Arabidopsis thaliana: one gene and its partners. The protein of the gene in region 1 interacts with the protein of each later gene in a pairwise test. Each region holds a gene or a part of one and is shown on either strand. Other genes may lie near its edges.

Region 1 (6,557 bases):
TTCAATCAACTTATTAACCTTGATCTTTTTTATAACAAAATAAAAATAAAAATTGGCACATGATCAAATCATCAATCTCAAATAAGATAAAACCAAAGGTGTAATAAGGTTCATTTTTTTGTGGAGAAACCGAGTCAATGCTACCAAATTGCCTATATAGGCTTGAATTTTATGTAAATGCTTTTTTGAATGGAATAATCCGATTTTTTATTTTATTTTTTCTTATGTAAAATTATAACATGGTATAGATAAAAAATTTGTTTTGTAATAAGTGATATTTGGTCTAACGGCGCGTATGTATAGTTCTTTTACAAAAGTGAGTAATAGTGGTTTTCTGGTTCAAATACTATTGAGAATGGTATCAGTTTTGATGGACAACAAGTGTATGAGACTCGGCTATAACTTCTCAATTAACCATTAACCATTAAAGAATACAAAATTTGGATTTTCGACTATACTTTGGTTCGGATACATCATACATGCATGCACACCATAACAACTAAACTCAAAAGGATTTGTTTTTGAACTTTTGATGATAAGAAAAAGAAAAAAAAGATGGGACATAAGAGTCATGTACACGTGGATAAGGAAAGGAGAAGAGAGGGACAAGGGAAGAGATGGAGAAAGAGAGACGTAAGTATTAATTCAATTGTGTGCCCTATTAGCTTTCATTTTCCACAAGCAAGAATAATATTAATAATTATGTATCATCTTTGCATTTTTGTACCAATACATGATACATTTGTTAGGCACACGTCTTTTTCCTTTTTCCTCCTTTTTATTTCTAACTTTCTTCCTTTTATTCGTTTAATCCGGCTCTATCACGTTAACACACATATATGTTATATCATCTTTTTACAAACATGTTTACATTAGTTATTAGAAAATACATATACTTGTAATAGTGACATTGGTAAGAAGAACTCTATCACCTTCACAATCACACACATATATGTTATATAATCTTTTTACAAACATGTTTACATTAGTTATTAGAAAATACATATACTTGTAAATAGTGACATTGGTAAGAAGAAAAAAACACTATTAAATAGTGAAAAAATGTTTATAACTCTCTTAATTAACATTACTTATTATTGCTAGCACCTAAAATCTCCCACAAAATATTTGTTGTAAAACACAAATTTACAAAATGATTTTGTTTTTAAATTAGTAACACATGTTCATATATACGTTAATAAGAACATACCCTATATGATTTTATATAAAAAAATTTCTTTGAGACGTCTTATCCTTTTTTCTTTAATAATATGCAATTGTGAGAGTTTGGATTTGAATGGTAGCATTAGAAGCAAACTTGAACCAAACATATTTCATGAAGTCAAACTTGAACCAATGTAATCACTAATCACAGTGTTCGCAGTGTAAGGCATCAGAAAATAGAAGAAGGGACATAGCTATGAATCATATAATCTTGACACATGTTTTATAGGTTTTAGGTGTGTATGCTAACAAAAAATGAGACAGCTTTCTTCTAATAGACTTAATATTTGGGCTAAATGTACCACAGTTGTGAATTTCTTACAAAAATGGGCCGAGCTACAAAAAACTACAGGCCCACTCTCAACTCTTATCAAACGACACCGTTTTACTTTTTTAAAAGCACACACTTTTTGTTTGGTGTCGGTGACGGTGAGTTTCGTCCGCTCTTCCTTTAAATTGAAGCAACGGTTTTGATCCGATCAAATCCAACGGTGCTGATTACACAAAGCCCGAGACGAAAACGTTGACTATTAAGTTAGGTTTTAATCTCATCCGTTAATCTACAAATCAACGGTTCCCTGTAAAACGAATCTTCCTTCCTTCTTCACTTCCGCGTCTTCTCTCTCAATCACCTCAAAAAAATCGATTTCATCAAAATATTCACCCGCCCGAATTTGACTCTCCGATCATCGTCTCCGAATCTAGATCGACGAGATCAAAACCCTAGAAATCTAAATCGGAATGAGAAATTGATTTTGATACGAATTAGGGATCTGTGTGTTGAGGACGATGAGTGACTCGGTGTCGATCTCGGTTCCGTATAGGAATTTGAGGAAGGAAATTGAACTTGAGACGGTCACCAAGCATCGTCAAAACGAATCTGGTTCTTCGTCGTTCTCTGAATCTGCTTCTCCTTCGAATCATTCTGATTCGGCTGATGGTGAATCTGTGTCGAAGAATTGTAGTTTAGTGACGTTGGTTCTTAGTTGTACAGTTGCCGCTGGAGTTCAATTTGGTTGGGCATTGCAACTTTCTCTTCTTACTCCTTATATTCAGGTACTTACTATTACTCTTGTCATTGTTACCATTTCTATCACTTGTGGCTTTCTCTATAGCAATTTAGATTCGAGGGTTTTGTTCTTGTGTAGCTTTGTACGAGAAAGTCGAGTACTTTGTAGGTGAATCAATGAATTCTAATACTTAGGTTAGGTAGTTGTTGTCACCAACATAGCCATGAGATATTTTCGTATGGAACTCTATAGCATTGGCTTATCGAAGAGTATATGACATTGGAATTTAGCTAGATTGTTTATGTTCATTGGATTACATAAGCATTTGTAAAAATATAAAAGACCTTAGCCTTTTTCGGAACTATTGTATAATCAGAGATTAGACTGTGTTTAGAATAGTATTGTACTGGTCATATATGTATCAGGTGGGTAGTTATGGTGGTAGATAGAACTATTGTTAAATATCTGTTTGCTGGAAGTATTTTGATTTTCTTGTTGCTGAAGAACCCTTTTGAGTTTTATCTAACAGTGTTGCATTTGGTTGGTTGATGCAGACCCTTGGAATATCGCATGCTTTTTCTTCGTTTATTTGGCTGTGCGGCCCAATTACAGGCCTTGTGGTAGGTTAAAAGTTTCTTTAAGAATTTTAGCAGTTTTACTATCTTGCACGTAATGATCTCACGAGAGTTCAAGTTTTGATTTATATTGGATCAGAAACTATTTTTCTGCCCCATTTTGTTCATACTTATTTGTTTGTTGGGTTTTAGGTCCAGCCTTTTGTTGGCATTTGGAGTGATAAATGTACTTCAAAGTATGGAAGAAGACGACCATTTATTCTAGTTGGATCATTCATGATCTCAATAGCAGTAAGTGCCAATAGAAGATATGATTTCTGTTTTGATTTTCTTTTAGGAGATAGCTGGCTACATTGTGTTTTATATAAGCTAAACAAAAGCTTGCAATTTAGGTGATAATAATCGGATTTTCTGCAGACATTGGGTATCTGTTAGGAGATTCAAAGGAACATTGCAGGTAACTCTCCTGCTCCCCTGCCAATGGCATGTTTTTTATGGAATGTATCAAAATTAAAGTAACTGACGACTTGATGTGTATCTTGAAATGCAGTACTTTCAAAGGCACACGAACCAGGGCAGCTGTTGTCTTTATCATTGGGTTTTGGTTGTTGGATCTAGCAAACAATACAGTACAGGTTCAGATCTGCCTCTGCAATGTACTTGAGTGAATGGTACTAGTCATTACCTCTGTATCCAGGAATGATGTTTTCGGCTTTTTTATTTTCAGGGACCTGCTCGTGCTCTTCTAGCTGATCTATCAGGTAATAATGGAATATAACCATACACTTAACAGAACAGAATTTCTATTCAAACTCTAGAATCAGATTGAATATGCTGTGCTTCTAATGAGATGTCTCTTGCTGTCCCTAGGTCCTGATCAGCGGAATACTGCAAATGCTGTGTTCTGCTTGTGGATGGCTATTGGGAACATCCTTGGGTTTTCTGCCGGTGCTAGCGGAAAATGGCAAGAGTAATCTTTGAGATCCTTATTCTCAAAATCTTGTATTCTTTTTCCTCATTTGCAATTTTGCATTTTCCGCCAGCTGTTAAATGATCAGGCAATTTTACTGCGCAGATGGTTCCCTTTTTTAACTAGTAGAGCATGTTGTGCTGCATGTGGAAATCTCAAAGCAGCGTTTCTTCTTGCAGTGGTAAGCAGTATGTTTAATTTTCTGACACATGCATCTTACTAAGCTTTCTAAATTGCAATGGAATGGGCTGGTCTTTACGAAACACTCTCACGTTTGTACATTGTGACTTGTGATTCATATATGTCGCAAATCAATGCGTTCTGTTTGTATGTCTATATTATTTTTGAGGTGATTTTGAAAGTGAAATTATATTATTGCACCCAGTGGCTTTTGTTCTTGTTTCATAGTCTAAAATCTGAATATATTGTTCTATATGTTTTAAGAGTTTAAATCATTTTTTCAGGTCTTTCTCACTATATGTACTCTTGTCACAATCTATTTTGCTAAAGAGATTCCTTTTACAAGCAACAAGCCCACCCGCATACAAGATTCTGCACCTTTGTTGGATGATCTCCAGTCCAAAGGCCTTGAGCATTCAAAATTAAATAATGGTACTGCCAATGGAATCAAGTATGAGAGAGTGGAACGTGATACGGATGAACAGTTTGGCAATTCAGAGAATGAGCATCAAGATGAGACCTACGTTGATGGCCCTGGATCTGTTTTAGTGAATTTGCTAACTAGTTTAAGGCATTTGCCACCGGCTATGCACTCAGTTCTTATCGTCATGGCTCTTACATGGGTGAGTGCCAAAGAAAAATTATGATCAGTTATTACATATTTCACACTGTTTCTTTTCTTAAACTCTTTAATGATCTTTAAAATTATTTGCTTCTGTTATATTTTTGATTGTGGTCTTGTTCTTTGCAGTTATCCTGGTTCCCCTTCTTTCTGTTCGATACAGATTGGATGGGAAGAGAAGTTTACCATGGGGATCCAACAGGAGATAGTTTGCATATGGAACTCTATGATCAAGGTGTACGTGAAGGTGCACTTGGTTTGCTACTAAACTCTGTAAGAATCGTTATAATAACCTGTTTTTTAACTGCACTGCTCTTCAAAATTCAATTACTCGCCCGTTATTGAATATTCTTCTTCCCTGTTTCCGTAGGTTGTTCTTGGGATCAGCTCATTTCTCATTGAACCAATGTGTCAGCGGATGGGTGCTCGGGTTGTATGGGCTTTGAGCAATTTTACTGTATTTGCCTGCATGGCGGGAACAGCTGTAATCAGCTTGATGTCTCTCAGTGATGACAAAAATGGAATTGAATACATAATGCGTGGAAACGAAACAACAAGAACCGCAGCCGTAATCGTTTTTGCACTCCTTGGTTTTCCCCTAGCTGTATGTGCTTTCTTTCAACCGTAATTCTCTTTATTCTTTTCGTGTTGCAACATTTCTCTAAAATATGTGATAAAACCATTCTTTAATGCAGATCACATACAGTGTCCCTTTCTCTGTCACAGCAGAAGTCACTGCTGATTCCGGTGGCGGTCAAGGTCTGTGAAAAGATTCATATCTTCACTATATTCATAGTTTTTGTACTTAAATCTTAGATTTCAGTAATCCCTAATGGTTTCATTTCCTCACTCCAGGTTTGGCTATAGGAGTGTTGAATCTCGCAATCGTTATTCCCCAGGCAATCTCTCAAATCTAATTACACTGATAAATTTCATTCTCTTGTATAATGCCACTCACTTCGAGTGTAGTCTTGACCCGTAAATAGTGTCTGAATATGGTTTTGGCTCTAAACAGATGATAGTATCACTTGGAGCGGGTCCATGGGATCAATTGTTTGGAGGAGGAAACTTACCGGCGTTTGTTTTGGCGTCTGTTGCTGCTTTCGCTGCTGGAGTTATTGCATTGCAAAGGCTTCCCACGCTATCGAGTTCTTTCAAGTCCACCGGTTTCCACATCGGCTAAAATCTTTATACCACAGACATAAAATTCACAGTTAGATCTACCCGATTCTTTTTGACCACGTTCTCCTCTCGGCGTATATGTAAGTAGGTTTTGTACATCTAGTTTTCTTATATGTTATACACAGCAATGTGACTCTAAATTTACAGTACCTCTCTTCTCACGTAGAATATATCTTCGTTATTTTGAATCACTTTATATTTGTGTGTTCCTTTCCTCACAAATAGAAACTTGAAGCAACATATTCCAAACTCAATAGTCCAATCTAATAACACAATACTGTTGGTTCTTTAACCTATGATGTGTACGTTTTCCCAACATTACCATACTAATATAACAAAGCATTTCAATAAGAACACAAATTCAAACCTATTTTCGCCTATAAACTATGTACTAAAATCATAACCAAACTATATCTCCAATAGAAACAATGTGTCCATAAATAATAAATGCTCATATATCGTGGGTTGTTGATGACATAGTCTTTGTCCACAAGTTCCTTATTTAGTTGATATAAGCATTTTCAAAACAAAGAAACAAAATTCAACTTAGTGTAACAATGTCAAAACCAAACTCTTATCTTCAATAATGAGACAAAAGAAACCGAAGTTAAGTCTATAATCAATTTCTACATAGACAATGTGGCCAAAAATAATAAATGAACATATATCATGGGTTGTTGAGACACCCAATTTAATAAAATAAAAACATTGAATGTCTTATTTTCTTCTTCTTTAAAAACCCTTTGTACATTTACTCTTCAATTCATCCTCATTTACTCTCTATAGTTTCTCTC
Region 2 (5,246 bases), on another chromosome or scaffold:
AACAGTCCATCACATTGATTTCACAAATTTCACGAAAGTCTCAATCTTTCACAAATCAAACCTGAGTTTGGAGCTCTAACGTTAGTTTCCCGGCGAGACTGAAACGCTTGGCTAAAGAGCTAACATTGCGCCTTTGTTGAAACCCGAAAAGCTTCACTGTCGAAATGCAGAATAGCATCTCCAGCCAAACTGGATGGCGCGTGAGCAACCACCGCTCGTATTATGGACTCGTGTTTCGACTGCGGCTAGAGCAGAGCGGCCAGGACCAGACGATATTCTGATGCTGATTCGGTCCGGTTTGTTTCGGTTTTAAATTTCAGATAAATCGGTTTGTTTTTAATTGATTTTGTAGATAGCCTTCCAATTTTGACTTTTTGATACCTTACAAAGTGAAATGGCTTTGAGAGTTACTTGCCTCTAGCAACAGTGTCTGTGTCTCCTCATTTTTCTTCCACAATCTCAATGCCTCTATTTGAAATGTTGCATTAATTTTCTGAGTAAAAGCGATTCATAGGTGCTTTTTGTATTTCCAATTTCCTAAAGAATGATATTTTTTTTATTGATGGCAAAAGTAATACAAATGTTAAAAAGAATACAATTCAAATACACAATCAATCTACGAATTACAAGTAATGAAAAAGAATTACAATATATGTTTTTGGTTTTAGGTATCATCAGTAGTTTCAGTTTCACCTCCTCTTGTTTTTGCTCCCAAGCAACAAACACAAGTAAAACAAAATCCTAAATAGGAATCCGAAACCTACCGTGATAAGCAAGCAGTTCCATTTACTAAGCTGTGTCACTCCTTGCTGCTTCAGAACATCAGCACCCGTCGTTAAACACGTAGAGCTCGATATCCTCATACCTATCGACCGGCTCACAGAATCCAAAAGCCTCAGCTTCATCCCATACGTCAATTCTCCCAAAGGCGAGTTGTCGAAAAGCTGAACACCTCTCACAAAACATTCTGTAGGATCCGAGAACTCGTTCTGAAGAACCGCCTCGTATGGATACTTAACCAGAGAAAGATAATGAAACCAAATCCAATACTGAGGGATTCGATCTCTGTTGATGAAGAAGCCACTGAAAAGCAAGAAGTAAGCTAAAATAGCAACAACGATCGTGTAGCCTAACATCACATGTGGAACGACGCCGGATAAGAAAGTCACGAAGGAGCTTCCGGACCAGAAAGAGGCTAAGATGATTAAGCAGTAGAATAAAAAGCCCATTAGGCCTCCTTCAAGCCCAACAGCCCAAAACGTCGTCACTGCGAAAGCTAAAGAGAGGAAGATGAGCGAAGGGAAGGTAACAATGGCGTGAGAGAGAACGTAGGAGGATCTCCGGTAAGCGTTGTAAGCTGTTTCTCTCATGAAGATGTAACGTTCCTGGAGGAACACGGGAAGAGCATCGGCGCAAGTGTAGAACATTGTTGACATTGCGAATGCGAAGAACCCTAACCGCTCTTGAACTCCTTTTGGTGAATTATCCAATCGCCAGAATACGGTGGCTAAGATGAATCCGGTGACGATTACGGTGGCTAATCGCATTCCGAGTAGCTCCGGTTGTCGTCGGGAGTTGAGGATTGAGCGTCTGGTGAGAGTTTTGATTTCGATCCAGAACGGATTCGCGAATGCAGGGACGGCTAAGGTTCCGCCACCGTGGTTTATGACGGAGGAACCACCGCCGCCACCGGAGACTAGTTTTCCTCTGCTTATGCTGGCGGAAATCGCTTCTTTCAAGGTTAAATTTGGGTTTGGAGAAGCCGGCGGAGTTAGGGTTTGAGGATTGCTCTGTTTCTTCATCTCTTGCCATTTCTTGTTGAATTCAACTAATCCTCTTGTTCCTCCAGCTGATCCTTCGAGTTCTCTGATTAGATCGAGTGCAAACTCCGTTTGATTCTCGTTTTCCGGTATCGGATTACCGAACCCGGCGAAAAAGCTCGGTAGACTCGCCGGAGAACCACTAAAGACGGTGTGTCCACGTGACAAGAAGATAAGACGATCAAGTAAACTGAGAACTCTGTGACTTGGCTGATGTATTGACATTATAATGATACTGCCACTCTCTGCGATTCTCTTCAATACTTTAACCACCATGAAAGCACTTGTGGAATCTAAACCAGAAGTAGGTTCGTCGAGGAAGAGAACAATCGGGTCGTGGATGATATCGATTCCGATCGAAACTCGCCTTCTTTCTCCACCGGAGATTCCACGGTGTCCTTCGTCTCCAATGATTGTTTTAGCAGCGTTTCTTATCCCTAACTGGTCGATTAGGGCTTGAACTCGAAGCTTCTTCTTGGATTTAGGTAAGCTTCTTGGTAATCGAAACTCAGCTGCAAACATTAAGGTTTCTTCCACAGTAAGCATCGGGAAGAGAAGATCGTCTTGCATTACATAAGCTGAGATAACTTTCAGCATCCGAGATTGAAGAGCTTCTCCGTTAAGCGTTACCGTGCCCTTCAAGCTTCCTTTAGCGATCCGATTCGCTAAAGCGTCGATCAAAGTGGATTTACCTGACCCGCTAGCTCCAAGAACGGCAAGAATCTCTCCGTCACGAGTCTCACCGGAGATATTGTCTAGAAGAGTCTTGGTCTTGGAGAAAGATGTCCTCCTCCATGGAACCAGGTCGTGAAAGTCAAGTTTCCGGCGAACAGAGACGTTGTAAGTAAGGTTGTTGAAAGATAGAACGAAAGGAACAGGACGCATAAGATGATCATTATCTCCGTCAAGTGAAGAACCATCCCTGTCAAAGAATTCATGAACAGGAGTTTCGTCACCAACTTCAACCTTACGAACGTCGCTAACGTTCTTGAGAAGTTGGCCTAAAGTCAAAGATGAGCTAATAATCTCCATGGAATGAAACGGTGTTGCATTATCATCTTCTACTAGTATGCGAGACATTTAGAACAAAAGATGGTAAAGTGAGAAATGATGTGCTTACACTTGAAAATCAAAACACTCTTTGCATGATCAAAATGTTAGTCTTTGTTCTCTGTTTTGCTAGTATCTGTGTATAGGCCTTATATATATGAAGTAACGTGTGGAAGCGTGTGAACACGAAGGTTCTATGTGTTGAATGAGTTGCATCATCATGAGAAATCTGTTAGGTTTGTGTTGTTAACAATAATATTCTTAGCGTTTGGATGGAAAATGCGTTTTGGATTTCTCGTATTCAATTAGGGAGAGGTAATGGGATGACCAATAAATCTAGATTTTCCAAGGTGATAATACTAAAATACGTAGAAATGGCTGACACGTGGCGATTAGAATGGAGAATTAGGTGAAGGGTGTTGATCTAACCGAGGTATAGATAGTATATAGGATTGAGATGAGATATTTCTTGCGTTTCACATAGTGTTTGGTCAATTAATTAATGTTTTTAAAAGATTCTTCGAATGTTGGTAGCGATATAGTGATTGTTTGTATCGCAAGCAAATGTGTACCTAGATAAACTATTCACATTTTCTTTTGTTTTCGCGACCGAAGACGATTGCTTATGCTGCTAACTGCCTAAAAGTTGCAAATTGCAATAATTCCGGAACCCCAACTAATTCTACCAAATATAATATAAAAGTTATATTTGATAAAGTAGCTAGATTTGTATTTAGTTTGGGAATATAAACTCCTGTTTTTGCTATGAAAGACTACACACAATCTCCAAGTTCATTTTTTCTATTTCTTGATTATTTAGTTGGTAACGGTGGAACATTCTTTACCAAACTCAAATATTGTGTTTGGTCTTTGTTTCCTCTGTTTTATTCACAGTATACAGAAGCTGATAAAACATTCTTTTTGTTTTGTAAAGGGTGGAGTGGTGGTTTAAGAGAAATATAATAAAAATCGTCAAGTTTGTTGCTAAAATTAAACATGCATGCGAAAATTACACGAGAATCATAAAGATGGTGTCACATTTCAAATACTATTTGTTAAGAAAGTAAAAATAGTGATGTCTTTGATCCATCCAGGGAAAGAAGAAACAGATCAAAAGGTTAGGCAACTTCCTCTTAAGTAGTACTTGGTCAAACTTCTAGTGATGGACACAATGGTAACATGAAAGCAAAATTGACGTACTGGCTTAGCTTCTTGGATTTCCAATCCTAAACTTTGACTTCACTGTTACATCTTTTTGGTTGACATTTTGAAGTTTAGGTGACTAACTTCTACCTACTGTAGTCTTCCTTACCGCCATAAGAAAAGGGTCAAAGATTTATAATACCATCTAATAAAGCTTATAAGAAAGTTGGCTACTTTGAATTCTATTTTCGACCAACTGTTTAGTTGTATATACTTTTGTTTTTAAAAAGTGATGCAATTTGAATTTTGTCAAATACGTTATGTTTACACCGACCACGAAAGATGGCATATAGCTCACACGCACATTAAAACTACTAAATTACTTCACTGGTAGCTTGTGGTATCTTTATATTAGTTTGAACTTTAAACTATTGATGTAGTTCATATTGTTAAGTTAAAAACATTACCAATTGTGAATTAAACTAAAATCTTAGTCCTTTATAAAATTGTGAACCTAACATCATGTAAAATGTTAGATGTACGATTCTTTCTTTAGACAATATATGATAGCTATGAAAGAAAAAAATAATAATTATACAACATATATCATCAATATCTCAAATTCAAAAAGACAATTTTGCTTTCACAATAAAATTTCTGTTTCGGAAAAATTTACATTATGGCGTTCACGCCCTCTTATTCTTGCTTCCAAGCAACAACGAAAAATAAAACAAGATCCTAAAGAAGAATCCCCAAGCTAACGTTACCCACAAGCAACCCCATTTATCCAGCTGCTCAATTCCATGCTGCTTAAGCAAATCAGAGCCCGTCGTCAAACACGTTGATTCCGTTAACTCCATCCCCAAGTAACCGCTCATTGTCTCCAGAAGCTTAGCCTTTGTCGTTTCAGATACTCCTTCCATTATTGTATTATCAAACACTTGGTTTCCTCTCACGAAACAACGGGAGGGATCATCGAATTCGTTGTGCAGAACAGCTTCGTAGGGATACTTTAGCAGAGAAATGTAATGAATCCATATCCAATAAAGATGGATTCGATCACGGTTGACGTAGAATCCGCTGAAGAGGAGGCAGTATGAGAGATAGCCAAAGGTGACCATGTAACTCATCATCACGTTTGGAATCACACCGGAGACAAATGTAACAAACGAGCATCCTGACCAGAAGGACGCGAAGATGATCATAAGATAGTAGATAAAACCTGCCAGACCA
Region 3 (5,727 bases), on another chromosome or scaffold:
TTATTATAAGCTATGAGAAAGCTGTAAAGTTTTTTGCTCTTTTGTGATTGATTTCCACTTTTGTTTTGTGGTTGGTCTGGAACAATAACAGGTAAAGAATCCATCGGCGAAAGTAGAGCACGAAGCGAGTACCTCTAAGATTGGAGAAGATCAGCTATTCTATTTCCAGCAGAGAGGAATCGATCACGAGAGAGCATTAGCGGCAATGATCTCTGGTTTCTGCAGAGATGTTTTCAACAAGTTACCTGATGAGTTTGGAGCTGAAGTTAACCAGCTTATGAGCATCAAGCTTGAAGGATCAGTGGGTTAAAACAAAACTCATAATTACAGAACAGCAAAAAAAAAGGGGTGGTCTTTGTGCTTCTTCTCAATAAAGCTTTTCTTCTGAGTAAAACTTTGTATTATTTTGTAATGTTTTGGTAGTTTCATGTGAATCTTGTGAAAGGTGTTTGTTAATATTTGTGAATCACGTAAAAACTATATTGCAATAAACTTTTTTTGTTTACATACTTCTATCTTATACAGTTGTGGGAGAAGTTTAGAAAATTGTAGAATCTTGAGGAGGAGAATCAGTGAAAAGAGATTGAATCTCTTCTAGAGATTTGCCTTTGGTCTCTGGAACAAGCTTGGCTATGAACACAAATCCAAGGCCAGCCACTGTGGCAAACATCAGAAATGTTCCTGCAACAAAGACTTTTAGTTAACAACTCTCTTTTCAAAATTCAGAAATTGTAACCAAATCAACTTTTTGTCAACTTTAGTTCAATTGTATTAAAGATTTTTACCTGTGGAGCTCCATTGAAGCAAGTAACTGAAGGAATAAGCAACAAGCCATGCGCTTATAGAGCTGACCAAGTTACACATTGTTCCCGCTGCTCCCTTAACATCTACTGGATAAATCTTGAAAAGAAAATAAAAACATTAAGAGGGATGTATTCAATCTAGTATTTTAAGTTATTTGTGTAAAATTTACAAATCCGATGTTATTCAATCACGGATTTTAAAAACTCTAATGAAATTCAGTGTTATTGAACTAATGATTTAAAAATCTAGATGTATGCGATACATAATTGTTATAATGAGTGTAACATAATTTAAATGTCTGCGATATATTTTTAAACTTTTTTTAAATATTTATTTACCTCTGATGCTATGATCCATGGTATTGATCCCATACCAGAACCGTATGATCCAAAATACACCTAATAAAATAAATAATCAAAAATCAAAATACAGTTGTTACGGGAAAATTATGAAAATTCAACACTAAATTAGAAAATTAAAATCAGAAAATTATTTTAGATTTTCAAATTTAAATAGTCTAAAACTTTATATCTAAAAAACATTTTAAATTCTAAATCCTAAAACCCTTATTAATTACCATAACACTAAAGAGAGCCAAGACAGGAGTTCCTGTTTCCCAGCAATGATTCTCCTGTAGAACGAAATAACCGGTAATTTTAAGGTCCGGTATAACAAACCAAAATTAATTTCCGGTTTAGTAGAGTAGATGGAATAGTAACCATGCCTTCAAGAAGAATGAAATGGCTGTGGTAAGACAACCCAAGAACATTCCAGCTTGAGAAACCTACAATGATCACTCAAAATATATTCCTAAACTTTGTTCGAAAACCTAACAAAATTAACATATCGATTTCGGATACGAGTTTTAAATTTTGTTTTACCAATAGGAGTGTACGTCTTCCAGATACATCAACAAGCACAGTACCTAAAATGCCTCCAAACATCTACAAAAATGATTGGTCAAAAAGTGTATAGAATATTATACGGAAAGAGTTTTGTCTAACCATGCTCTATGGTATTGTATTAGTATAACTATAACCTGAACAACTGATGTAGATATGAATCCAAAGTCACTCGATACACCTGGATCATCGGATAGTATTTAAGGACCATTTGATGAAGTAATCATATCATTATGTTAGATCAAATAAAGAGAAACAAGAAGAAGAAGGATTATATACCGGTAGAGATGAAAATGGAGTCAGTGTAAAAAGAATAACCGTTAAGACCTCCAAGCTGAGGCAAAGCTATAAGAACAACTCCAATCTGTATATAAACCAAATGAAATATATAAATCAAGCAAATGCAAACAAAATAATGCTAGATTTTGAAGTTTTTTTAACCTTTTTGAATAGTTACTTACAGTAAGTGAGAATGCATATTTTCGCTGAAATAGCTTGAAGAAACCGCGGTCATCGATGTCTTGTTGTTGTTTAACATGTTCTGTATATTCCTGATAATCATCAAATTGTTTAGAAATTTATGTTATAAAAAAAATCAAAAAGGATGAACGACCTGTCTCCCCTAATAAGTTTTATATAACACCATAACTATACAGAATTCGGATCGCAATCCTAGTCCACAAAAAATAGAAGTTAAAGTCCAGTTTCACCCTCAATTGGAGGTTCGAATCTTTGGTCCCCATAAATTCAAATTTCATGGTTTATATTTGGTTTATTATACTGGACTCGATGCCAAACCGAAACCCAGTAGATTAGAAGGTCCTTACTAATATCTCTGCTGCTTCATCTGATACATCAGATTTTTCTCCTCGCAGGCTTAACAAAACTGCTTCAACTTCCATTTCTCTTCCTACTTTAGCCTACCAACAAATTTCATCTTGGTTTATTTGATTTACGATTTTAAGATATTCGACCAAAAGTTTTTTGTTATAACCAAATGCTTACTAGCCATCTAGGAGATTCGGGGATGAAGAAAAGAAGAGGCAGAACCATTAGAGAAGGTATACATCCTGTTCAAAGAAAAACCATTAGTACATTTTCTTGTACTTCGAGAAATGAGAAGTTTTCGATTTTTGCAAATCGATAAGAATCGGTCTTTTTTAACATACCCAAAATGGCTAAATTGCGCCAGGCAACGATGGTTCCAAGTGCATAAAAGACCGATATACCAACACCGGCGAATAACTGTAAAACATTCAAAACTTGTAGTGAAGGAAAATGCTTATAATAGTTTCCAAGCTTTTGGTTCTCTTGAGTTTTACCTGCGCGAAGGAAGAAGCAGCTCCTCGCAAGTTTCTTGGTGCTATCTCGGTGATGTAAACTGGTCCCTGTAATTAATAATTATCAGATCATAAGATTTGTTACAAAAGAGAACTAAATATATCTGAACATAAAACTTACAAGTTACAAGATATCAAATAAGTTTCAATGCTACATAACTACATTACCAACTAGCTACCTCTAAATCAAAAAGTCACACCATAAATAAGAAAAAATACCAAACCCTTCTAGTTTTAGTATTCACTCATACCAAATATACGCTAATTCCGATCGAGATCCCTTGTAGTAACCTTCCGAGATCAAGCAGCCAAACACCCTTTGTAACCAAAAAGTCAAAGAACAAAAATAGTAATAAGATACAGTTGAGGAACTATAATAATATATCGACTTAAAAACAGTACAATCTAAACCATTATAGAAAGAACTCAGAAAGAAACAAACCTTGGCAAATGCAATAGCGAACCATCCGATTACAAAGAGGATGTTTGTGATCCATATAGTCTTAGTTAGAAAGAGAATAATCACATAAAGATGATTAATAACCATAATTGTATAATCATATCCAATTCGTTATAAGAAAGTTTTAAACACTAATCATTCTTAAGTAGAAGAAACTTACTTTGACACGACCAACTAAATCTGTTAACTTCCCACAGATTAATGCTCCAAGGATTAACCCCACCGTCAATATCGATCCAAATAGTGAATACTGAGCAAAGAAAAGAAAACCAAGATCATATCGAACCAGAAATAAACCGGAATAAACCGTAAGAGCAACAAAAAAATAAAAAAGTGATTGAACTTGCATCAGCTATGGAGAGATTCAAGTCTTTCATGATACTTGTTTGTGTCGGAGCCGAATATCCAATCTGTGAACATAAAGAATCAAATAGTAACATTTTAATTAGGTTTAATAAAAAATTAAACATGCAAGAACGCATTAGGAAACTCACAATGCATCCAAAGGCAAAGGCGCCGCAAGAACCGACAATGAAAGCAAGAACAAAAGGTCTCGTGCATGCATTTGATATTTCAGACAAAAGTGAAGAAGAAGAAGAAGTAGAAGAAGCTGGTAATAATAAACCTTCTTCTGCCATTTTTCAGAAATCTGTGATTATGAATCAAATTTGCTTCAGGAAAATGCTCAAACCTTTTCGAGTTTGGAAGATTGTTGGTCTCGTGGAGCAAAAACTGCAAAAATAGCGGAACTGAAAACTAAACACAAATTGTGTTTGCTTTTGTTTCTTTCTCGTGGACATATAATATTAGTTCTAAGAAAACATATAAAAAATTAACATAGGTAATTAAATTATAACTATAATTATATTTTATTTTAATTGTTTTTATTAAAAACCATATTTTATCTATTGTTTTGGATTCACTTAGATCGTGCAAGTTTGTTACCAACTTCTGAAAATCGAATCATCTATATTTTTATTTGTTGGTCTGGATTTTCACTCATTTAAAACATGTGAAATCTTAAAGAATTAAACTTGAGTTCACCCATTTATTCAGCTCCTTTTGTATTAACCAATAAAAACATGCAATGTTAAATCTTATTTAAATTACATAATAAATTAAACCTATAATTATAAATCCAAGCTAATATATAATTTCGTTTAATTACAAAATCTAAACCCTAATTCTCCTTTGTAAACCTAAATCGCCATTTAAAAACTTATTTAATCGTAAAAAACTAAATCCTAATCGTATTTTCTAAACCCAAACTGACATTTAACCTCGTTTAATTATAAAATCTAAATCTGTTTATAAATTTAAACTAATATTTAACCCGTTTAATCATCAAATCTAAACTCTAATCGCACTTTCCAAACTCAAACCGATATTTAACCTCGTTTAATCATAAAATTTAAACCTTGACTTTTTCTAATAAATCCAAACCGATACATAATTTCATTTTAGTGGCAACTTAGATTTTATAATTAAATAAAATTCTTTTTATTATTATTAGGTTTCAGATTTTAATTGGCTAAAATAAAGGAGGTGAATATAAGGTTCTCAAATATTTTTCAATCTTAAATGCAAGTAAATGCGCTTACGTAAAAGCTGTAGACATGTGTAAACAAGCATTTCACGTCATAAGATCTCATTTTCCATCAATTCTATTTGTTTTTTTTTTATAATTAGAGTATCTCCAACTCATCTCTATTTTTATTTTTATATTTTAATTTTGTTTTTATTTCACTGTAATTCATATTTATTTTTATCTCAAAAATAGATATCTCTACTTTTTCTAAAAAAAATTTTGTAACAAATAGAGATCTCTATTTTTCAAAAACTATTAGTGTAAAAATAATTTTTTTTTAACTTTTTTCTCTATATTTAAATGAAAAAATAGAGACAATCATTAGAGATGCTATTAAGATTTTGTAATTTTATGGTTATCAGGTTGTATATTGTTGTTGCGTCGAAAACATATAAACATGATATATATCATAATATATGCCTTAACCAAGCTTTTCAGTTGAACTGTAGATCCCTTTCAGGGACCAATTTAATAAATATTTATAGGCCAATGACCCAATCGTAAAAATACGATGGAAAAAAGAAAGACAAACCCCATGAAATATAAAGAGATCTGAAATTAAAGTTTGAAGGTAATTTTATTTTATCTCTTAGAAAATTGTAGAATCTTCAGAAGTAGAATCAGTAAAAGCAG
Region 4 (6,086 bases), on another chromosome or scaffold:
TTTTAATGTATACTGAAACTATTTTTTAGATAATTACAAATCTAAAATCCAAAAATTCTCTTTTGAATATGCTAAATCATAATTTAAAATTATTTTTATTTGTAATAATCAGAAACAATTAACATAGTTTTGTTAAGGAAATTGTATAAAATCTAAAGTAAATGATAATTTGTTATTAAATTAGATTGAAGTTTCCAAATTATCTAATAACATATTACCAAAAGAAATAAGTTTACATATATACAATTTGAATTAAAATAACCTAATATGTTATGAAAACGTTTTTAAATGATTTCCGAAAATATTGGGTAGTTATTAATTTAGTGATTTAATTCGTTTTTTTTAAAAACAAAATCCAAGATATTTGTTTAGTTGTAGTAGTTGTTAATTTACTAAATTACCCATGCAAAAATTCATTTAGTTAGTTTTAAACTACCCTTACAATGTTGTAGTTCATACAATGCTTCCTAATTAATAATATAGATTATCTTATAATTTTGTTTATAATGAATTATAATATAATATATTGTTATGTTTTTTTCATTTATCATTAAAATTTACCGAGCACACCGAATACTTGGATTTTAACTTCGATCTAAATTTTGTTGTTGCCTCGTGTTGGAGAATGTGAGGTTTTGACTTTTGAGCATTGCTATGAGCCTATGAGCAGTCTTGAGCTTTGGAACCCTATTTTTGTTTTAAGCGTATCATCAAGAATGAAGAATACAAACTAAAGGCTATAACTAGACTGAGGAGTGCATAATCTATGAAGCCGTCTCCTACGGTATCTCCACGCCACTTGAATCTGCCTAGCCGCTCGTAGCCTCCAATATGGAGAGTCGTACCTTATGGCTCCTTGGACTCTATGACTCCTCAAGAATCTCGAAAACAAGCTCGTTACGTCTTCCAGATCGGCTACACTCAGCGAAAACGCCTCCACATTTGTCACACACCTTACATTTCTGCTACTAAGCAATCCCTTTGATGGCATCCTTATCCTCGTCCCATCTGAAGGTTTCAGAACATACTCAGTTCCAAGCTTTTTCTTAACGAAGTGTCATCTAAGGAACCAAACTTTTTGGGATTTATGAACACATAGAGATAGAGTCAAAAGGGATGGTACCGGGGTTTACAGAAGAGCGTTCGAGGCACCAAGTGAGGAGTTCTTCACCACAAACATCGCCTTCATATAATGGAAGAACAGAACCATCTTCTCCAATGCTCTCCATCTCACCTCTCACTATGAATACCATTTTCTCAACTAGTCCTCCACGGTGCAACACTGTGCTACTCCCTATGTATGTCCTCTGTTTCAGCCTCTCACGGATTGCATCTAAGATTGGTTCATCCATCAACGAAAATATTCTCACCTGCAAACCCATTCAAATTTCAATACTATTTCTCAGCAATGGTTTAATCTGTGGTCTCTAACTATTACTTGCAGTTACAGCTTCTAGAACTAGCTCTTTGCAACACTATATGGAATTGGGATCTATGCATACAGAAGTTTCACATATGTTTACCTTCTTGAGAAATTTGAAGAGGTGTCGTCTTATATCTCTTTGAAGATCATCAGGCATATTCTCAAAAAGCAATTCTTCGTTAACGCCTCTAGTAGCAGCCCAGTTAAACCGCTCAGCCTCTCGCACCCTCCTGATAATGTCGAACCATTATTCAGTTAGTTTAATAGTGAAACTACTGAAACTGAGACCAATGTAACTCTTTAAGAAAAAGAATATTCAAAGGATAAAACAAAGTTTTATAGGCAAAGTCCACATACCTTCTTATACCATCTGGCAACCGTCTATGGCTCATCCATTGCTCCACATCACGCCGTCTCAGCGTCATTTCCAAATTCCTAATATGGACAAAACACAATCACCTGAGTAGTTAGTGTTTATAGAACCAACCATTATGTCTTGAAATATCTATTTTAGTACAATGATGGAATTGTTTACCTTTTACCAAGAGCTTGAAGGAAATTTTGCATATTACCAATAAGAAGCGCAAAAAGTAAAAGCCCTAGTCCAATGATACCCATAGTAAAGAAGACCTCCCCTAGAAAGTAGCTTGGGACTTGGTTGCCAGCAAGAGTGCTGATTTGCTATGAGAATTATAAAATTAATGATCTTAATGAAGAGTTCCAAGTATGCCAATCAATGCAAAGTAGTTGAGTAGTTGTTCTTAGTTTCCTACTAAAAAACTGAAAGAGAGAAAAAAAAAAACAGTTACCTGGAAGCCCCAGAAGAGAGAGTAACTGTATCTTGTGAAGAGATTAGAATGATTGGTAAGATTGACTGCTTTTAAATAGATTCCATAAGGAAAACCATCTTCTTGGAAACAAGCATTGGCACTCGCATTATCTTTCCAGGTAGCTCGTACTAATACACTGCTATTTCCATTACCACAATCTATAAGATCTTGACATTCACGCCCAAAATTACCGCAAGCATTTCGAAGGCACTGATTAACTCTCTGAAAGAACCAACAGAAAACGGGAAACAATATAAATCACTTTATGCATCTTCTGCTGATCAGGACAAGATAAAAATGAAAGACATTTTGAGAGTTTGTCATACCTGCAGACCAAATAGATACCAGCAAGAACCAACAACATGTCCAGCAAGCATGAAAGTGAGAAGATTAATAACAAAATTAGCCCAAGCTGACTCAAATATGAATCCGGTAGGTGTTTGTCCAGCAAGAAACGGTAGAAGTCTATATAACTTTGGAATGTATTGGAAAAGAACTGCAGCTCGTAGAAGGTTTTTCGCATAGTTTGCCCCGGATGCACCCAAATGTGCTGGTATTATCCATAGTATCAATATCTGTAAACAAAAGAAAACATAAATGAACATCTTCTGATTACCATTACTTAAAACCAGTAGGAGCTCTAACGTAACAATACCTGTGGAAGTGGCATCACTATGAACAAGTCAAGGAAAAACTTTCCTTTGAGGTAATGAAGGGCAATTTTTTTGGGATGACTAACTAACTGGCCAGCTCCAACTACCGTAGACTCACGAGCTACATAGGCCAATCGGAACTGCAACCAATATGGCAAACGTGAGCACTAAAGCCAACATATTTTGTTTATAAAGAGATGGAAAAATGTAAGCAAAAGAAAAGCACCTGAAGTAGAATGTTCATAGTGAATATAACATCTGTTACACTTCTTACAGCTACAAATGCTTTAGTCATCGGCCAATCAATCATAATACATTTGTTTTGCTACAGTGAGAAAATAAAGATGGTCAAAAAGGTGGTGTAAAGGCAAGATAAAAACACTTGGAAAAGCAAAAGATATCTCTGAAGGAAAAACATACCTCTTGGACTTTTATGAGGAAGAAGAAGAGGGGATCTATAAAAATAGCTAACAAGCATGAAAGGGCGAAGAATTTAGTCCAGGTTTGAACCTCTTTGGCATGAGGATTCATGATTCCAGGTAAGTATCTATTAACAGAGGAAGCAAATCTCCTTGCCCAACCTTTAGCATCATCATACAGAGCGTTATGGAACTAGCAAGAAAACAAAAGACTCTGTTTCAACGACATTTACTTGATCCTGAAGCTATATTTGTGAATGTAAAGTAACAAAAATCAAAACTTTACCGTGGAATCAAAAAGGGCAGAAACTCTAGAAGTAGGGATTTGAGCAGCCTTACGGTTGTAGTAAGAAGGGCAAGTAGTACAGTAAGGATCATTACACATTCCCAATTGTCCAGACCTCAAGAGATTTGCGTGTTTCAAAACGAACTCATCCTCTGAGGAGTTTTTATGTTCAAGAGCAGCAAAAGAAGGATACCTCTCAGGCTGAGAAGAGACACCAACGGAATCAGAAGAAGGATGAGGAAGAAAGAGAGGTTCATGCTTGCGAGTAGAGGTAAGAGGACCACTCATTTGAACTAAAGGAGGACGTCTCTGAGTTCGAAGAGGACCCGTGTAGCCTAAAACCACAGTGGAAGTGTCAAATCCTTCAATGGAGGAAGTAGGGTTTGAGAGAGAAACGCTACGACTCCTGGAAGTGAAAGCTCTGGCTCTAGTACGAGATGATGGGTCTGAAATCGGAAGCATGGGAATATCATCGTTTTCGTTGTGGGAAGCCATTTCTTGACCAAAATCACGGTTTCAAGAAGACCCTAGAAGGCTAGAATCTAGGCATAAAGGGAAAATTTGAGGCGGAGAAGGAAGTTGAAGCAGAGAGTTTTAGTAATTTTGATAAGAAGAAGAAGAAATAAGAAAGGAGATGATGACCAAGTCAGGGGTCTTCTTCTTCGTAGCCCAGGTCAAGGAAGTGTATTATTGTAAATAAAACTCATGTCTGGAAAAGTCAAACACTGACTTTTATTACATTGTTTATTATTTCGTGTCCGTGAGGCTTCTCTCTCCTCTGTGTTTTTAACATTTATTTCCTTTTGAATATTCACGAATTCGAAAATTCCTTTATTTGATTACCAACTGTAACTAATTAATTGGCCCTAATTATTGGAGGCAAAATGTCATTAACTACATGGCTGTTTCCGTTTCTTTGTCTTAATTAACTTCTTACAGTAAAGAAGTACCGAAAAGGCAAAAATCATTCATTATCCAGGCTTGATTAATTATTAATTTAAGATCAATTAGAATGGGCCGAAATTATGAGCCCAAGTTACTCAAGCCGAGTGACCTGAAGTAAAATTATACCGTATGATTGGAAAAACAGCAAAAAGATACTTAAGAAACACTAATGAGTGAATTGATTACAACGAATGAATCATCGATTCATCTTTTATAGTGAATCACTAAGCTTTATACTTCAAAATAAAATTACTAATCTACCAAACCAAACATCATCATCAAATTTAACGGTTGGAATTGGAGTGAGCAGTGTTTAATCTCTGGAGTTGTCTCTTTCGGTATCTCCAAGCCACTTGGATCTGCATAGCTGCTCGTAACCTCCAATAAGGAGACTCGTACCTTATAGCTCCTTGCACTCGATGGCTTCTTAAGAATCTTGAAAACAAGCTTGTTACATCTTCAAGATCTGCTACACTCAGCGAAAACGCCTCCACGTTTGTCACACACCTAACATTTCTGTTGCTAACCAATCCCTTTGGTGGCATCTTTATCCTCGTCCCATCTGCAAGTTTCAAAACGTATTCAGCTCCAAAGTTCCAAGTTTCTAACCAAAAAACATTAAGAGTTATGAACACTCAAATGTTATTAGTACCGGGGTTTATAGAAGAGAGGCACCAAGTGAGAAGTTCTTCACCACAAACGTCTCCTTCTGATAAAGGAAGAACAGAACCGTCTTCTCCAATGCTCTCCATCTCACCTCTCACTATGAATACCATTTTCTCTACTAGACCTCTGTGATGCAACACCGTGCTACTCCTTATGTAAGTCCTCTGTTTCAGCCTCTCTCTGATTGAATCTAAAACTGATTCATCCATCAACGAAAATATTCTCACCTGCAAACTCATTAACACTTGGATTCAGAACTAGCTTTTTGCAACACTGTGGAGTCTGAGTACACAAAATGAATACTGACTAATGCTGTCATGAGGCTGTTGCTTATTACCTTCTTGAGAAATTTGAAGAGGTGTCTTCTTATATCTCTTTGAAGGTCATCAGGCATGTTCTCAAATAGCAATTCTTCGTTAACTCCTCTTGTCGCAGCCCAAGTGTACCGCTCAACCTCTCTCACCCTCCTGAAAAAGTTGAACAGTTGATTAGTTATGAATATCACATTACACAGCCTGAGAAAATCAAATGCCACAGTGCACAGACTTTCTTATATCTTCTGGCAAACGTCTATGGCTCATCCACTGCTCCACATCACGCTTTCTCAGCATCATTTCCATCCTCCTAAAACAGAACATGCATTAGCCAAGAAATTCACCATCCCTTTTCAGAACATTGTTGATGAAATGTGATTTACCTTCGATCAAGTGATTGAAGGAAGTTGTGCATGTTACCGATAAGCCGCGCAAAAAGCAAAAGCCCTAGTCCAATGATACCCATTGTAAAGAAAACCTCACCCACTGAGTAACTTGGGGATAAGTTTCCAGCAAGTGTGCTTATTTGCTTTCAGAGTTGAAAACATTT

Evidence for each region.
Region 2: the proteins of SUT2 (region 1) and ABCG16 interact in a protein complementation assay, tested with the Arabidopsis thaliana proteins (one large-scale study listed by BioGRID).
Region 3: the proteins of SUT2 (region 1) and AT4G04760 interact in a protein complementation assay, tested with the Arabidopsis thaliana proteins (one large-scale study listed by BioGRID).
Region 4: the proteins of SUT2 (region 1) and CNBT1 interact in a protein complementation assay, tested with the Arabidopsis thaliana proteins (one large-scale study listed by BioGRID).

Annotation. Positions count from the first base shown.
Region 1 is NC_003071.7:827,753-834,309, reverse strand, and holds SUT2 (sucrose transporter 2), read left to right. Parts: upstream 1-1,690; 5' UTR 1,691-2,013; coding exon 2,014-2,280; intron 2,281-2,788; coding exon 2,789-2,854; intron 2,855-3,001; coding exon 3,002-3,100; intron 3,101-3,201; coding exon 3,202-3,266; intron 3,267-3,359; coding exon 3,360-3,444; intron 3,445-3,536; coding exon 3,537-3,570; intron 3,571-3,679; coding exon 3,680-3,779; intron 3,780-3,884; coding exon 3,885-3,960; intron 3,961-4,243; coding exon 4,244-4,582; intron 4,583-4,710; coding exon 4,711-4,854; intron 4,855-4,951; coding exon 4,952-5,185; intron 5,186-5,276; coding exon 5,277-5,340; intron 5,341-5,436; coding exon 5,437-5,480; intron 5,481-5,596; coding exon 5,597-5,764; 3' UTR 5,765-6,031; downstream 6,032-6,557. UniProt on the Arabidopsis thaliana protein: Responsible for the transport of sucrose into the cell, with the concomitant uptake of protons (symport system). Can also transport maltose at a lesser rate. May also transport biotin.
Region 2 is NC_003074.8:20,415,653-20,420,898, forward strand, and holds ABCG16 (ABC-2 type transporter family protein), read right to left. Parts: upstream 3,259-5,246; 5' UTR 2,901-3,258; coding exon 690-2,900; 3' UTR 531-689; downstream 1-530. Other genes in the region: AT3G55080 (SET domain-containing protein), read right to left, coding at 62-178; ABCG17 (ABC-2 type transporter family protein), read right to left, coding at 4,700-5,246.
Region 3 is NC_003075.7:2,422,581-2,428,307, reverse strand, and holds AT4G04760 (Major facilitator superfamily protein), read right to left. Parts: upstream 4,145-5,727; coding exon 4,001-4,144; intron 3,917-4,000; coding exon 3,854-3,916; intron 3,757-3,853; coding exon 3,667-3,756; intron 3,549-3,666; coding exon 3,489-3,548; intron 3,364-3,488; coding exon 3,298-3,363; intron 3,095-3,297; coding exon 3,029-3,094; intron 2,952-3,028; coding exon 2,876-2,951; intron 2,777-2,875; coding exon 2,712-2,776; intron 2,627-2,711; coding exon 2,534-2,626; intron 2,258-2,533; coding exon 2,168-2,257; intron 2,071-2,167; coding exon 1,986-2,070; intron 1,888-1,985; coding exon 1,844-1,887; intron 1,749-1,843; coding exon 1,686-1,748; intron 1,589-1,685; coding exon 1,529-1,588; coding exon of another isoform or gene 1,524-1,528; intron 1,436-1,523; coding exon 1,382-1,435; intron 1,203-1,381; coding exon 1,143-1,202; intron 901-1,142; coding exon 786-900; intron 682-785; coding exon 539-681; downstream 1-538. Other genes in the region: ABCI8 (ATP binding cassette protein 1), read left to right, coding at 92-310; AT4G04750 (Major facilitator superfamily protein), read right to left, coding at 5,684-5,727. UniProt on the Arabidopsis thaliana protein: Sugar transporter.
Region 4 is NC_003074.8:6,047,094-6,053,179, reverse strand, and holds CNBT1 (cyclic nucleotide-binding transporter 1), read right to left. Parts: upstream 4,367-6,086; 5' UTR 4,107-4,366; coding exon 3,612-4,106; intron 3,519-3,611; coding exon 3,327-3,518; intron 3,232-3,326; coding exon 3,133-3,231; intron 3,047-3,132; coding exon 2,909-3,046; intron 2,829-2,908; coding exon 2,580-2,828; intron 2,476-2,579; coding exon 2,233-2,475; intron 2,105-2,232; coding exon 1,959-2,104; intron 1,859-1,958; coding exon 1,781-1,858; intron 1,654-1,780; coding exon 1,524-1,653; intron 1,371-1,523; coding exon 1,124-1,370; coding exon of another isoform or gene 1,086-1,123; exon of another isoform or gene 1,009-1,085; coding exon 731-1,008; 3' UTR 505-730; downstream 1-504. Other genes in the region: CNGC19 (cyclic nucleotide gated channel 19), read right to left, coding at 4,841-5,118, 5,209-5,449, 5,560-5,689, 5,769-5,846, 5,920-6,065. UniProt on the Arabidopsis thaliana protein: Probable cyclic nucleotide-gated ion channel.